Linked DNA regions of Drosophila melanogaster. The protein of the gene in region 1 interacts with the protein of each later gene in a biochemical or structural test. Each region holds a gene or a part of one and is shown in the gene's direction. Other genes may lie near its edges.

What was found. Proteins that work in one complex are often made in the same cells at the same time.
Region 2: of the proteins of wts (region 1) and yki, one has a biochemical effect on the other in vitro, tested with the Drosophila melanogaster proteins (3 studies listed by BioGRID).
Region 3: of the proteins of wts (region 1) and mats, one has a biochemical effect on the other in vitro, tested with the Drosophila melanogaster proteins (2 studies listed by BioGRID).

What each region holds. Positions count from the first base shown.
Region 1 is NT_033777.3:30,803,559-30,808,238, reverse strand, and holds the start of wts (warts), read left to right. Parts: upstream 1-1,619; 5' UTR 1,620-1,951; intron 1,952-4,680. Other genes in the region: dj-1beta, read right to left, coding at 349-505, 572-891, 955-1,041. UniProt on the Drosophila melanogaster protein: Negative regulator of Yorkie (Yki) in the Hippo/SWH (Sav/Wts/Hpo) signaling pathway that plays a pivotal role in organ size control and tumor suppression by restricting proliferation and promoting apoptosis.
Region 2 is NT_033778.4:24,065,438-24,070,447, reverse strand, and holds yki (yorkie), read left to right. Parts: upstream 1-1,962; 5' UTR 1,963-2,132; coding exon 2,133-2,983; intron 2,984-3,193; coding exon 3,194-3,285; intron 3,286-3,731; coding exon 3,732-3,887; intron 3,888-4,134; coding exon 4,135-4,187; intron 4,188-4,270; coding exon 4,271-4,375; 3' UTR 4,376-4,473; downstream 4,474-5,010. Other genes in the region: Gpat4 (Glycerol-3-phosphate acyltransferase 4), read right to left, coding at 206-448, 506-709, 1,114-1,248. UniProt on the Drosophila melanogaster protein: Transcriptional coactivator which is the critical downstream regulatory target in the Hippo/SWH (Sav/Wts/Hpo) signaling pathway that plays a pivotal role in organ size control and tumor suppression by restricting proliferation and promoting apoptosis.
Region 3 is NT_033777.3:22,419,495-22,423,839, forward strand, and holds mats (mob as tumor suppressor), read left to right. Parts: upstream 1-1,666; 5' UTR 1,667-2,094; coding exon 2,095-2,108; intron 2,109-2,473; coding exon 2,474-2,640; intron 2,641-2,701; coding exon 2,702-3,180; 3' UTR 3,181-3,808; downstream 3,809-4,345. Other genes in the region: Nop56, read right to left, coding at 1-828, 894-1,296, 1,460-1,462; pinta (prolonged depolarization afterpotential (PDA) is not apparent), read right to left, coding at 4,102-4,300. UniProt on the Drosophila melanogaster protein: Coactivator of Warts (Wts) kinase in the Hippo/SWH (Sav/Wts/Hpo)signaling pathway, a signaling pathway that plays a pivotal role in organ size control and tumor suppression by restricting proliferation and promoting apoptosis.

The sequences.
Region 1 (4,680 bases):
TCATGCCATATATGCATTTATATTTCATGACAAATTAAATTAAAGCCCATTGAACAATTTATTTTAACGCAGTTCAGTTGATTCATTATGATAGAATTATACTTCGCTCAAAACTAATTAAATGAAAACCGTTTGCTTCAAATAATGACATTTAAATTCACTTAAATAAATTTCTTTAATATATCTTTAACAACATGCCATTTCCTAGCTCTCCATTTAAACTTCTTTCAAATAGCAAATATAAAATTGAATCACAACTTCTGTCTTGAATAATTTTATTTTAATTCAGTTGTTGTTTGCATGAGTTGCTCTTGAAACAATCTGTTTTCATAAATAAGTGTAAATATGTTAGTTGTAGGCCACAAGAAGACCCTTGGCCACCTCCTGGACTTTCTCCTTGCCCGCCAGCTCCTCGGCGATTTTGAGGGCGAACTCGTAGGCGGTGCCAGGACCTCGACTGGTGATCAGATTGCCATCCTTGACCACCGTCTTGTCGTCCACATAGCTTAAAGAAATAATCAAAAGAAATGGGATGAAGATCATGGGAAAATAAACTTAAGAGGTGGTATACCTATAGTTATTCACCAGCTGGGGCTTCATTGAGGGATACGAGGTGAGGGATTTCCCGGAGGCGACGCCGTGCTTGGCCAAAACGGTGGGCGCGGCACAGATGGCGGCGATGAGTCCGCCACCAGACTCCTGGCTGCGCAGCAAGTCACCGACCAGCGAGGACTCCCCCATGGCATTGGAGCCACCCAGTCCGCCGGGCAGCACCACCACATCGAACTTATCCGAGGCAACCTGGGCCAGCGAGGTGTCCGGCAGGATCTGCACATCCCGCGAGCACTTCACCGCTTCCCCGCCATTCAAACCGGCTACGGTGACCTTGATCTATCATATAGTAAGTATAAGTATAGAACAGAGTGATTTAATGGAAAGGTTGAGAGCACTTACGCCCGCCCTTCTCAGAACGTCGGCGGCTATGATGAACTCCATCTCCTCCGCTCCGGGAGCCAAAATCACCAGCGCGCTTTTCGACATCTTGGTAAACTTAGAAAAGTGCCTTGAAATTTGAGGAAATCCAAAGAAAACCATGCAGATACGATAGCTTATCGATAGCGCTGTTCTGGAACGCAGCTTTGAGTTTTCCTTATCGAGGTTTCAAAAACTGAGCGGCAAACTAAAACACTTGTATAATTTGGTTTGACTTGCAGTTAGGCGACTAATTTGATGCATTTAAAACTTCTGTTTTTCACAGGAAGTTAATATTTTCATTCTTACTCAAAACAATGTTCTGCATTATATTTTAAAATATTAAGACTTTGAAATCAGTTGATTTTATTTATATGAGAAAAGGATTGCGTCTATGCTACGTGCTACACAGAAATGGTTTGAAACCTCATTAACAATTCTAACAAGTCTTGTTCTTTAAGTTAAAACCGATAACATTTACTTGCTCTCTATATTCTGTCGTATTACATAAATTTATATAAACTGATCACTGAAATATTTTTATATTTGTTTTCAGTATAATATCGATGTTTATATACCACGGTCAAATCCTATCGATACCTGATGTGGTTGCCAGACCAAGTACAGCTGCTCCTCCCTAGATCTCTGTCTATCGATATCGGTCTATCGATATGTGAACATATCTAGCACGACGGCAGCAACAAAACCACGAATTAATTTTACTAAATTTAAGCCAAACGCGCATCGGAAATGCCTGAAAAATGCGATTGAATGCACGCGAAAAGTGATGGGTTGCGAACGCGAGTGAATCAAGTGAAAATACGTCGGCAAATATCAGCGAATTGTCGTCAAAAGGCAAGGAAAAACGGAGAAAAAGAGGAAAAGCAATAAGTGCCGTGTGTGGGAAACGCGAAAAAGGCGAGAACAAAGAGGCGAAAAGCGAGGAAATTGCGTGGAAAACGTGGAAAACGCGAAGAAGGTAATTGCGGAAAATGCCTGGTGAAAATGCAACGTTTGCAGCTGGAATTTGCGTATCTTCCAGTCCAAAAAGAAAATGCAATATCTGTTGAATGTGTGCGAGTGTGTGTGTGTGTAAGCCAGTGCGTGTGTGGCTGCGCTGGTGTGCGCCCCATGTGTGTGTTGGTGTGCATTTCCAATTGCCTGTGTGGAAAAGCAAGGAAAACTGCACGGAAAACGCACGAAAAGCAATCAAAAATGTGCGGAAAAGTGCCTGAAAACGAAATGCGAAGCACACACACAAATGCAACAGGCTGTATTTACATATTTCGCTCTCGCTCTCTCGTGGAATAAATCAGTACGGCTGCGTGCGAGTGTGTGTGTGTGGGGGAGAACGGAGGAGACAAAGAGAGCGAGCGAGAGGTTGCTACACAAATCGGATTAAATTCTTCTGTCTTCCCTCTCTTTCTGGCGGAGGGTACTGGTGTCCATGGAAAACTATCAATCTCGTAGAATTTTTAACTTTATTCCAGTGTAATTTCGAATGCCAACGACATTAGGCAAGGTCAATGTATGCACGCACTTTTCTCGGTTTTCCCGTTTCCTCTTACCATTTTCCAACTGAAACAGCGCTTAATTGGCTGCGATATTCGTGTGTCGAAAGAATTACAAATTCGAGAAATCAACAAGACATTAAACAACGAAAACTGAGAGTAGTACAATTAGAGTAACAGCAATAACAATAATAATAGTGGTAATTGCGGGAATACAAGGAAAACATGGCGAAAACGGAGCAAGATTTGAATACAGTGAAGATCTACTAAAAGAAACTGCGAGGACTATTGTAGAATTGTGATATTTACTATAAAGGAAACTTTTGAATCATTGCAATTTGAAACTATGAAAATATTCCAGTTAGAAACAAATTTAATTTTCATATTTGATGGACTTAAGCAAAAAGAATGAGTCATACACAAATATCTAATAATCACAAAATGCTACTTTGATATGTAACAATAACCCCCACATATGGATATGAAATGGAAGAGCATATTCTTCATTAACCCACATAGGCAGAAGCCACTGTAGTCATAGCAGAGATCAACTTTGTGACAGTATGCGCGGTGTTGATGCAACCGTGGGCAGCAGCTGCCTCCGATTTGCATGTGACTAGAGTACACAATCAACGGAATGGGGAAAATCCGCGGGAGCAGAACAGTAAATGCACAGACGCAAGATGCAAATGCGAAATGTGGCACAAGTAACTGCGGCCCATTGTAATTTGTAATTAGAGGCAGCGCCGCCACTTCAATGTCAGTGCGACAATAATTTCTCAGGCGGCCCGTTTGTGCTCGCGAAAAAGCAAAAGCACGAAACACGAAGCACAAAGCAAGAAACGAAGGGGCGGGACATCGAGACCTCATCCTTTGTGGAGGCAGCCAGCCGAAAATTCATAAACTTAATTGCAATGAGATGCAGAATGTGTGTGACACAGCTATCTGTAGTTTGAATACTCTTTAGTAGCTAAAACTAGCAGCAACTTTATTGAATGGTTTTATACTTGCCATCAAAAGCAGACTTCAGTTCTACATACACTATTTTGTATAGAATGGAAGTAAACCATCGATTCTCTATCGGATTTCCAAATATTATGGTACACAGCTATGATATAAACAAGCCCACAAAACTTGCAACTGAAATCGAAGCTAAAGTCCAAAAAAACGACTCCGAAATGTGCAAAACTTTGTTGTTGCAGTCACTAGTGGGACGGACTACTACTATTACTACTACTACTACTGCTACTATTGTTGTTTTTGTGCTTGTTGGCGATGTTGCGATTGTTGTTTTTGCTTAAAACCAGCAAACAGCGGCGTCATCGTCAGCGACGCTGGAAAATCGCTGGGATTCCATTCACATTCCAGCATGCAATTCGCAGTGGATTATGTGAGTGTGTTGTTGTTTGTTGCTGCCTTTGTTGTAGCTGTTGTTGTAGTTGTGATAGTTGTTGTTGCTGCTGGAACAGGTGAGGCTCCATTGGCGTCGATCGTGTGCATTCCACAGAGCACACAGAGACACACACACACACGCGCGCGCATATAGCCAACGAGCAGAGAGCAGGGCAATAAATACCAATACAGTGGGCTGTTTTTGCTGTTGTTGCTCGCTTTTAAAAGTAAATGAACGATAAAACAAGAAAAGGAAGAGGAAGTTTGGCGCGGGGATTGTGACGACCATAGGGATACCCCGCAGAAAGTGTAGAACGCAATGGAGCATAGTGCTATATGGATTCCAGTGTAATCTTTAAACGATTAAACTCTTTTCAATGAAATGATTTTTGATACAAATAAAGTTAACGGATACTGAGCATCCTAGTTCCTAAGTCACATTGAAGAATTTTAGGCTATTTTCCCAAAGACCGTATATCCTAAGCTTGTGAGGGTGTTCGCTGATCTTGGGCTAATCCCAATGAAAATCCCCAACCCCCTGGAATTTTCCGCACCCCTTCTGCGCCCCTGTTTCGTTGCAATGCAAGTCGAGCGATGTTGACGACGAAAATGCAATTTAGCTCGTTTTTCTTGCTTGCTTCGATCCCCGCCCCCTTTTTGCCGACCACCTCCAGAGAGTGTGTGTGTGTGTTTGTGTGAGAGAGTGTATGAAAAAAGGGAAAACGAAACGAAAACAGAGAGATGGAGAGCGAGCGGGAGAAAGAGAGCAAGAGCAAAGGCGACCCAGCAGCAGCCGCCGACCCGC
Region 2 (5,010 bases), on another chromosome or scaffold:
AACCAGTTATTGTCCGTTGAGTCACTTTCCTTTCACACTGTAAGATAACTACTCGACAGCCCAATCCCTATGCATGATGCTGTTCTCCAGTCTAAAGCGGAATACATTACTTAAGCGTATCCTTTGGGATAATTTGTAGCATGCATGGGAATCGGGACGATCGGGTAGTTGTGGAAAAGCCACTAAATGAACCGAATGTACTCACACCAACGAAGCATACCAATACCCGGAGGGGCATCAGGATGACGTAGCGGATGAAGAAGCCGAACACCCAGATGGAGGTGATTTTCCAGGAAATGAACTCGTAGTGCCTATTGGTGCGTGTCAGCATGTTCCAGCTCTTGAGCTCCTCCGCCTCGAAGCGCGACGTAACATCGTCCTCGATGATGGCCTCCACGCCAGACTTTACGTAGTCCAGGCATTTCTCAAAATCGAAATTGATTTCATCCTGCAAATGGGAAATGTTGTTTAAATCAGGTGCCCATTGCAATGCCGGACTCCTTACCTTTGTGGAGGAAACTGGCTTCTCTGGAGCGGGCTCCTGTGGCTGGGGCAGGAGTACCGCGTCCCTGGTAATCAATGTGGCTCCATTGGTGCCTTCTTTGGAATCGGCGTCGTCCACTAGTTGCACTCCCTGTTTGTCGTCAGTCTTGGGATTTTGAATGTGTTGGTTTTCTTTGGATGCTGTCTCTATACTAACTCGACCATACTGAAAGTAGAGGTGATTAGTTGTTAACGAGTCGAATCGGGGATTATCTGCAGATAAGATTATCGCAAGCATATCGTCGGACGAGGTAATGACTGGCACTTTACAAGTGTCTGGGAAGCGGCAACTTGGGTGCACTGGCGCACTCCTGCCCCGCAGATTCCTTGAGGATAGCCGAAGAATCTACTTAAAGCTTCCGGGCAAGCAATAGTTTCTCGAACTCGCCTGCATTGCAGTAATTGCGTAGGGCAGACGTAGTATGGCGTACTCCAAAAGCTGACTATATTTATGGACTTTGGAATAGCTTAACTATTGGTAAGACAGCACCATTTGCAAAGCCACCGCAGCAGTGGAGCACCTCAAATCGGTGCTTACTCATCTGAGGAACGAAAGCAAGCAATATTTACCTCGAATATCCTTAGGAGGAGGTTCACGTACGCTTTTCGGACGCCGATTGATTTGTTTATGGCGGAAATAAATATGAGAAATGAGAGGAAGCCCCCGATGGGGATCCAGAATATGTCCAACAGCACGGCGATCATTTTACATTTGTGTCATGCGACATTAGTTATTGTTAAGCGAAAAATGCCTCCGAATTGTGTCGTGCCAATATATACAATGTTAAAATACTTTTTGCTGTAGACCGAACTAGCGATGGACCTTGACTGTGTCAAAAACCTGTCTCGTGCTCACAGACCTGGCCCGCGCTCATCTCTACGGGGAACAAACGGAAAGGGGACGATTCCGGTCGGGCAGGAGACGGAACGGCTTCTTGTTCCACTGCCAATCGTTTTGAAAAGGGTTGAATGAACGTGCACTGAAAACAAAAAGGCACATTTACATTCAGATTATATTGTTATTGGGTATGTGTTTTTGACAGACCTTTACCTGCACTTATTACTTAAATCAACAAGGCACATTTACAATCAGTTTATATTGTTATTGGGTGTGTTTTTGACAGACCTTTGCCTGTACTTATTTTCACTAAACAAAATGTTATAAACCAATAAATAATAATTGTTAGTCTAATAATTTATAGTCTGATATTATGGAACACAAGTGTGTGGGCTATACACACACCATAATTTAATATCTACTTTGTTTTGTGCCTTATTAATTACAAAATATAGAATAAATCTTTAGCTATAGCTAAAGGAAATCGACAAAAGTCGTAATCGGCTTGCGGAATACCCCTGGCATTCCGCAGGTGCAGCCACGAAGCCGATTACATGAGGAACGCTAGTATCGGAATGGACAAGTGGACGGGGATAGCCATCTGGCAACACTGGGATAAATTTATTTTATGTTGGCAGTTCCGTAATTATTATTATTACTATTATTTATTGCAACGAAGTTTAGTTTTTAACACCTTAATGTTATAGTTTCGCGCAGCGCGATGGAGTGATACGTATATGGAAGAACATATATGTGCGCGTGCCTAATCGCTAAGATAATTCTATGTAGTTTTCGTTTGTATACAATAAGTGCCTTTTATATGTTAACGACGATGTCAGCCAGCAGCAATACAAACAGCCTGATCGAGAAGGAGATCGACGACGAGGACATGCTTTCGCCGATCAAGTCCAACAACCTGGTGGTGCGGGTCAACCAGGACACGGACGACAACCTGCAGGCGCTATTCGACAGCGTCCTGAATCCGGGTGACGCCAAGCGCCCGCTGCAGCTGCCCCTGCGCATGCGGAAGCTGCCCAACTCCTTCTTCACGCCCCCGGCGCCCTCGCACTCGCGGGCCAACAGCGCCGACTCCACCTACGACGCGGGCTCCCAGTCGAGCATCAACATCGGGAACAAGGCGTCCATCGTCCAGCAGCCAGATGGCCAGTCGCCCATCGCCGCCATCCCCCAGCTCCAGATTCAGCCGTCTCCCCAGCACAGCCGCCTGGCGATACATCACTCCCGAGCCCGCAGCAGCCCCGCCTCGCTGCAGCAGAACTACAATGTGCGCGCCCGGAGCGACGCAGCAGCAGCCAACAATCCGAATGCCAATCCGAGCAGCCAACAGCAGCCCGCTGGGCCCACTTTCCCAGAGAACAGTGCCCAAGAGTTCCCCAGCGGCGCCCCGGCCAGCTCGGCCATTGATCTGGACGCCATGAACACCTGCATGTCGCAGGACATTCCCATGTCCATGCAGACAGTGCACAAGAAGCAGCGCTCCTACGACGTCATCAGCCCCATTCAGTTGAACCGCCAACTAGGCGCCTTGCCGCCGGGATGGGAGCAAGCCAAGACCAATGATGGCCAGATCTACTACTTGAAGTGAGTTTGGGCAGATTTTAAAAATGATATGCATGAAGCTTTATTTAATACGTGTCTTCTTTATGAACTTATGAAAACTAAAATATTCTTGTGAGTCACAGAAATCTCATTGGCTTCGTTGGATGTCTTTCAAGTTTATCTCTTAATCATTACTAGCTCAACTAATACCCAAAACAGCAATCTCAACAATGGTGTTCTCTCTACTTGCAGTCATACTACAAAATCTACGCAGTGGGAGGATCCCAGAATCCAATATCGCCAGCAGCAGCAAATCTTGATGGCCGAGCGAATAAAGCAGAATGGTAGGTTCTATCTTAGATGTAATGCCTTAGATAAGCAAGTCGTTAACTGCCTGTGGCTGCGTCTCATTGTTAACCCACTTAAATCAGCCATCAGAGGACTAATTAATGCTAGAGACCAGGCAGGGATAAGATAGGCTCTAACTCATTCCAACTAACGCATGAACAGCACAGTACACAACCGATTTCAGGGAGTCCATTCCGTCCATTTTGAGCGCGCCAATGCACTTTTCGGGATTGGGTTGGAGTCTGATCATTTTGGCATTCGGAAGTGGGAGCTCGATTGGATTTGCTTTGAGCATACTCCAATTGATTTTGATATGTGCTGCATGCTGGGCGCCAGTGCCCCTCCGTTCTCATCCGCTTACACACTGCAGCATTACGTTGAAGACATATTTTAATTTGTTTTTATTTACTTTGGTTTGTAATTCATTGTTTTTGTTCGATAGATGTTTTGCAAACTACAAAACAAACTACCACATCGACCATTGCTAACAATTTGGGTCCACTGCCGGATGGTTGGGAGCAGGCAGTTACCGAGTCCGGAGATCTTTACTTTATAAATCACATTGATCGAACGACTTCATGGAATGATCCCAGAATGCGTAAGTCTCGTTCCACCACCCCGACTAGCGTAAGACAACGAGACACACAGATATCGTAGCGATATCGCTAGATAACATTGAGTGCGCAGTGGGCGGGGGGCCGATCACGTAATTCCCATGGCATCTCTGCTTTCACTATATAGTATAGTACTGATCTTGAGATAGAGGCCGAACACTCCACACTCCTTATCGCTCCATGCCTCGCCTTTACTAACTTAACGCCTTCCCTTACCGTGTATCTTTGCAGAATCTGGGCTTAGCGTGCTCGACTGCCCAGATAACTTAGTGTCTTCCCTCCAGGTAAGCATTCGCAGTTGCCGACCGCCGAGTTGGCGAACCGAGTTCCACGCCACTACCTCACTTTGCCCACTTTACGCTTTCAGATTGAGGATAATCTTTGCAGTAACTTGTTCAATGACGCACAGGCCATTGTAAATCCGCCGTCTTCCCACAAACCTGACGATTTGGAATGGTATAAAATTAATTAATTCAATGTATACATCTGTATTAGACCTAAAAGTTTTATATTTTGTATTATTCTAAATTAAATATTTTTCAAATTTTATAGTATTTCTTTACATAAACGAATTTGTGTGTTTATCATTATTACTGGGCGCCTTGTTTCTGGGTTTTAAAGCTTCCGACGATCAGTGAACGCACTGATTGAAAAGAAGATATCTGATTCAGATGACTTTCGAACGCCGAAGAGAGAGTTCAGGTGGATGAAAGGTGTGGTCAGCAGCGATGACTCATGCCGAAACCCGAATACCCCGACTATTGTAAAGTGCAAGCCAAGTAACCAAGTAACCAGAATGCGGCGTGCATTTGGACCAGAATGCACGCGATTCATGAGCTTCATTGAGTTCGATCTGTGACCGACCCAGCAGATTCAGCTTTACGTGGAGCCAAAGACATCCATGCTCATCGGTGTCATTCGCTTGCGAATCTGTTCGCGTTCGCTCTTTATCAATGCTTACCCATGAGTCACTTTTGCAAATATTCTTCTAATTTAGCATGAATTACTTATTTTCGTGATGTCAAGCTAGTCATCGTTTGAATTCTTTCAACAGCTTTCATAGATGATAAGAGTTGGACTTGGGTTTTTCACCACAGCTTTGTTTCA
Region 3 (4,345 bases), 8.4 Mb from region 1:
CGGACTCGTAGAACTTGAGGCGATCTTCGACCTGTTGCTTAAGAGTTTCGCCAAACACGCTAGTCGGCTGTTCCAGGAAGCAATCGATACGCGACGCGATGGAGCACTTGTTGGCCAGGAATCGAGAGATGCGACCCTTGTTCTTCAGGCCAGCTCGACCAATGAACGAGGAGTGATAGATAAGACCATACTTGGGCGTATTGGAGCGGGTCTTTAGAGCACGGAAGAGCGCCTTCTCGGCACCCAGGATTTGTACTGTAGATGCTGGGTACTTGGCCAGATTAGTCAAGCTGCCGGCATGCGATATCAGGCGGGCACCGACCTGGTCGCCAATCAAAGACTGCAGATTGGGTGCCACCAAGTTCATCTTGTTGTGCAAGTAGGTAGACAGTTTCTTTCGGTACTCGGAAAGCTTGACAACGCGCTCTGCGAACAGCTCAATGTTCATCAGATCAACAATGGAGATGTCCATGCCCATGGACATCTTGGCGGCATCAATGATAGCCTGAGCCTTGGCGGAGTCCATGACGATCTTCTCAAGATCCTCCAGCTGGTCTTGCGTGAGGTTCTTGCGATCCTTGATGAACTTGGCCGCCTTGGCGAACATGTAATTGTCGGGAACGATTTTGACCAGTTCTGGGAAGTGATACGAGTACCACTCGCGTATCCGCATAGAGAAGGTATTTACGTCCTTATCCAACTGATCCAGCAAAGCAATCGACTGGATGATCATGTTGTCGGAACGATGAACATTGAACTTGACCTTGGCACGCGAGTAGCTGTGGCCCAGACCCAGCTGAGCAACGCCAGCGGACTTGTCGGTGAATCCTGCATCGGATGGAGGAGGCTTTAGTTAGACAAAGAGGATTTTCCTTGCAAAGCAGGTAGCTTACCCTTGACCAGCTTAGCGAAGTGGAATCGCACGCCGCGCAGAATCTCAGGAACCACTCCAAAGTGACTGCACTGGACGCCAATGGCCTCGGTGATTGCAGCTCCCAGCTTGGCATCCGCAATACCCAGGGTGCACTTCTTCTTCTTCAGCTTGGCAAAGAAGTCATCCAAGAAGGAGAGCAGATCCTGCGGCACTATGCCCTCGGATATGGCATTGATGTTTTCCAGTGCGGCAATGGCCGTCTTGAAAGGTGCAAATCCAGCCAGCTTAACAATTGAGTTGAACTTGGCGAGGTCCGTCACCGAGGACTCCACCTGGGGCAGGAACATGGACACCTCTTCGAACTCCTTGACGGAGAAGAGCGAGAAGCCCGCCGCATGCTCGTACAGCACATACAGGTTCGACTGGAGGCGGGGAAATGAAAAATTATCAGTCTGATGCGGTGGCAGACACATGTGGTTTTGGGTGCTCCGCGTGTGTAGGTTAGTTTTCGCAGGGAAAACATTTTCATTTCACGGGCAACCCGCAGAAAATTCAAATATATGATTATTGCACTGAAATATTTACCATGTCTATGCCGAATATATGCCGATTTAATTAAGAAATATATATTTTTATACACCCACGATGCTGCTACAGTTGTTTTCCCACGTGCTTACTTCAAGTGTGACCATAGCAAGCCGATTGCGAAATGTTAGGGACATACCAGATAAAATACCGCAGTACCGTACTGAATTATTTTAACAGGCTGGCCACGTTGATAGCCTGATAACCTGTCGCGTTGTCCCTCTCGCACTTTCATCAACTGTCTCTGTGTGTGAAAGCAATTTTATTTTTATTTATAACAAATTTTTTGCGTTTATAAACACAACAGAATTAACTAGTTGGCTCGGCACACTTCCTGGAACCGCTCGCATCAGCTGTTGGGCTACGGCACTAGTTAACAGACCGACCAACTGGAGGCCAGATACAGATACCATCATTGTCATTTCCCAATTGACCAGAGAAAGAAACCTGCTGCGAATTCCAGTCACTTTTCTTTAATTATTATTCGGCGCTAATTGTGTAAAAATCGGCGGAATAAAGCTGCTGACACGACACAGAAGAGCCGAAAAAGCGGTGTGGCACTCGCCGGAAAAGTCTACGCATAGGAAAATTCCATTGGAGGCTCAGTGAAAGGCGAAGCACAGCAATTGCATGCCATGGACTTCTTGTTGTAAGTTCTCAGGGGGGCAAAACGTAGTGCAACTGCAATCCTTTCGAGCACAAAGAAAGCTTGGATCACCCCGCCCCACATCTGACTTTCCGGCTTTGTTTGCCCTTTTTGGGGTGATATCCCCAACCTCTTGTACAGTGGAACTTCCCTAATTTTGTCTGCGGTGTTTAAAAAATAGCTTTTCAAAGATATCTTGCATTCTTCCTCAGTGAATTTAAAAAAAGAAAAAAAAAGGAAATATTTCTTTTAGGGAGTGTAAATTGAACGAAGTCGCTTACGTTTCAATCTATAGAATCTTTACTGTATTATGTTTTACTGAGTGGGGCTGTTTGGGGCCGCGACTTATTGCCTTTCTCTTTCCACAGCGGTTCCCGTTCCAGCAAGACCTTCAAGCCCAAGAAGAACATCCCGGAAGGCACACACCAATATGATCTCATGAAGCATGCGGCAGCCACGCTGGGATCGGGAAACCTGCGCAATGCAGTGGCCCTTCCAGATGGCGAGGATCTCAACGAGTGGGTGGCCGTTAACAGTGAGTCTAGTATAGTGTAACTAGCGAAAGATAACCAATTCTTATTGCCACTCCTTCGCAGCCGTGGACTTTTTCAACCAGATCAACATGCTGTACGGCACCATCACCGAGTTCTGCACCGAGGAGACCTGTGGCATCATGTCGGCTGGTCCGAAATACGAGTACCACTGGGCCGACGGTTTGACCGTAAAGAAGCCCATCAAGTGCAGCGCGCCCAAGTATATTGACTATCTGATGACTTGGGTGCAGGATCAGCTGGACGACGAGACCCTGTTTCCCTCCAAGATCGGCGTGCCGTTTCCAAAGAACTTTCACTCCTCCGCCAAGACCATACTGAAGCGTCTGTTCCGCGTGTATGCGCACATCTACCACCAGCACTTCACAGAGGTGGTGACGCTTGGCGAGGAGGCCCATCTCAACACGTCCTTCAAGCACTTCATCTTCTTCGTGCAGGAGTTCAATCTGATTGAGCGGCGCGAACTGGCCCCGCTGCAGGAGCTCATCGACAAGCTGACGGCTAAGGATGAGCGGCAGATATAGGAATCACTGCATGGAGCCGCGAATTTTCGCGATTCCGGCGGCGGTGGTGGTGGTCTGCGCTTGCAGTTGGACTTGTGATGAAAGCGCTCTGGCAGACTCGTGTATTACGCTTTAGTTAGTTACCGCCAATACTTTTATGTTTCGTTCATTGCTTCATGGGGTGCCTCCCACTAAACAAAAGAAAACAAAAAACCGCCAATTGGCAATGTGAACCGAACTATAGCGGGCTAATTGCTGATCCAGAGCAACTACTATATTTTTATATGTGAAACGTAAAAACGTATAAATCATATTTATATGTATATGTAAAGGAGAAAACAAAAGCAGCAAAAGCAACAGCACGCCTTTTATAACTAACACCTCCCGCTTTCGAGAAACAACAAATATTACGTTCACAAACTATGCGTGTTTCCTTGTTTATCGTTTTTCTTTCTGTATGTATTCTATGTATTTATTACTATTAAACTATCGCTAATTGCTCGCGGTTCAGCGGATCAAGCGATTTTGTAATGCAAACCCCAGCAATTTGAGGCGACGGTCGGCAGCACCCAATAACTGATAATAATTGTAGACTTGATAAACATTTTTGATACGTTTTATACTAATAAAGAGAATATTATGAATAAACTCGTCTCTTTTTTGTTTGGTTTATCGTGTATTGACACTTTATTAAGCAAAAAAAAAAAGATAACATTGATGATTAACACAACGAAAATAACCTTTTTTAAAAAGGTTTAACGTAATGACTTATAATATATACAAATATGGTTAAGTGGGGAATTAGGGAGTATTTGTAGTACCCTTCCATAAAATATGACAACTGATATGCGCCTTTGTGCATTTGCGCATTGTAAATGTTTTCGACTAATCTATAACATTCGGCTAATCGCCTTGTTATCACTGCCGCCACACTAACCCCAATCACTTGAGCTTGCTTTTGTATTTGTCTTGTTCCACATAGAAATCGGCGTTCTCCTCGACCAACTGCTTCCACTTCACAGACAGCTCCATATAGCTTAATCCCTGACCACCGAGTTCCTTTGGCAACTGATCGCAGCTCACGGATGTTCCTTCACGACGCACGAAAAGTCGCGATCTTATCTTGGGCGTCATGAATATTCTAAAAAAAATGATAATATATAGTAAATTCTAATTTGACTTAGAA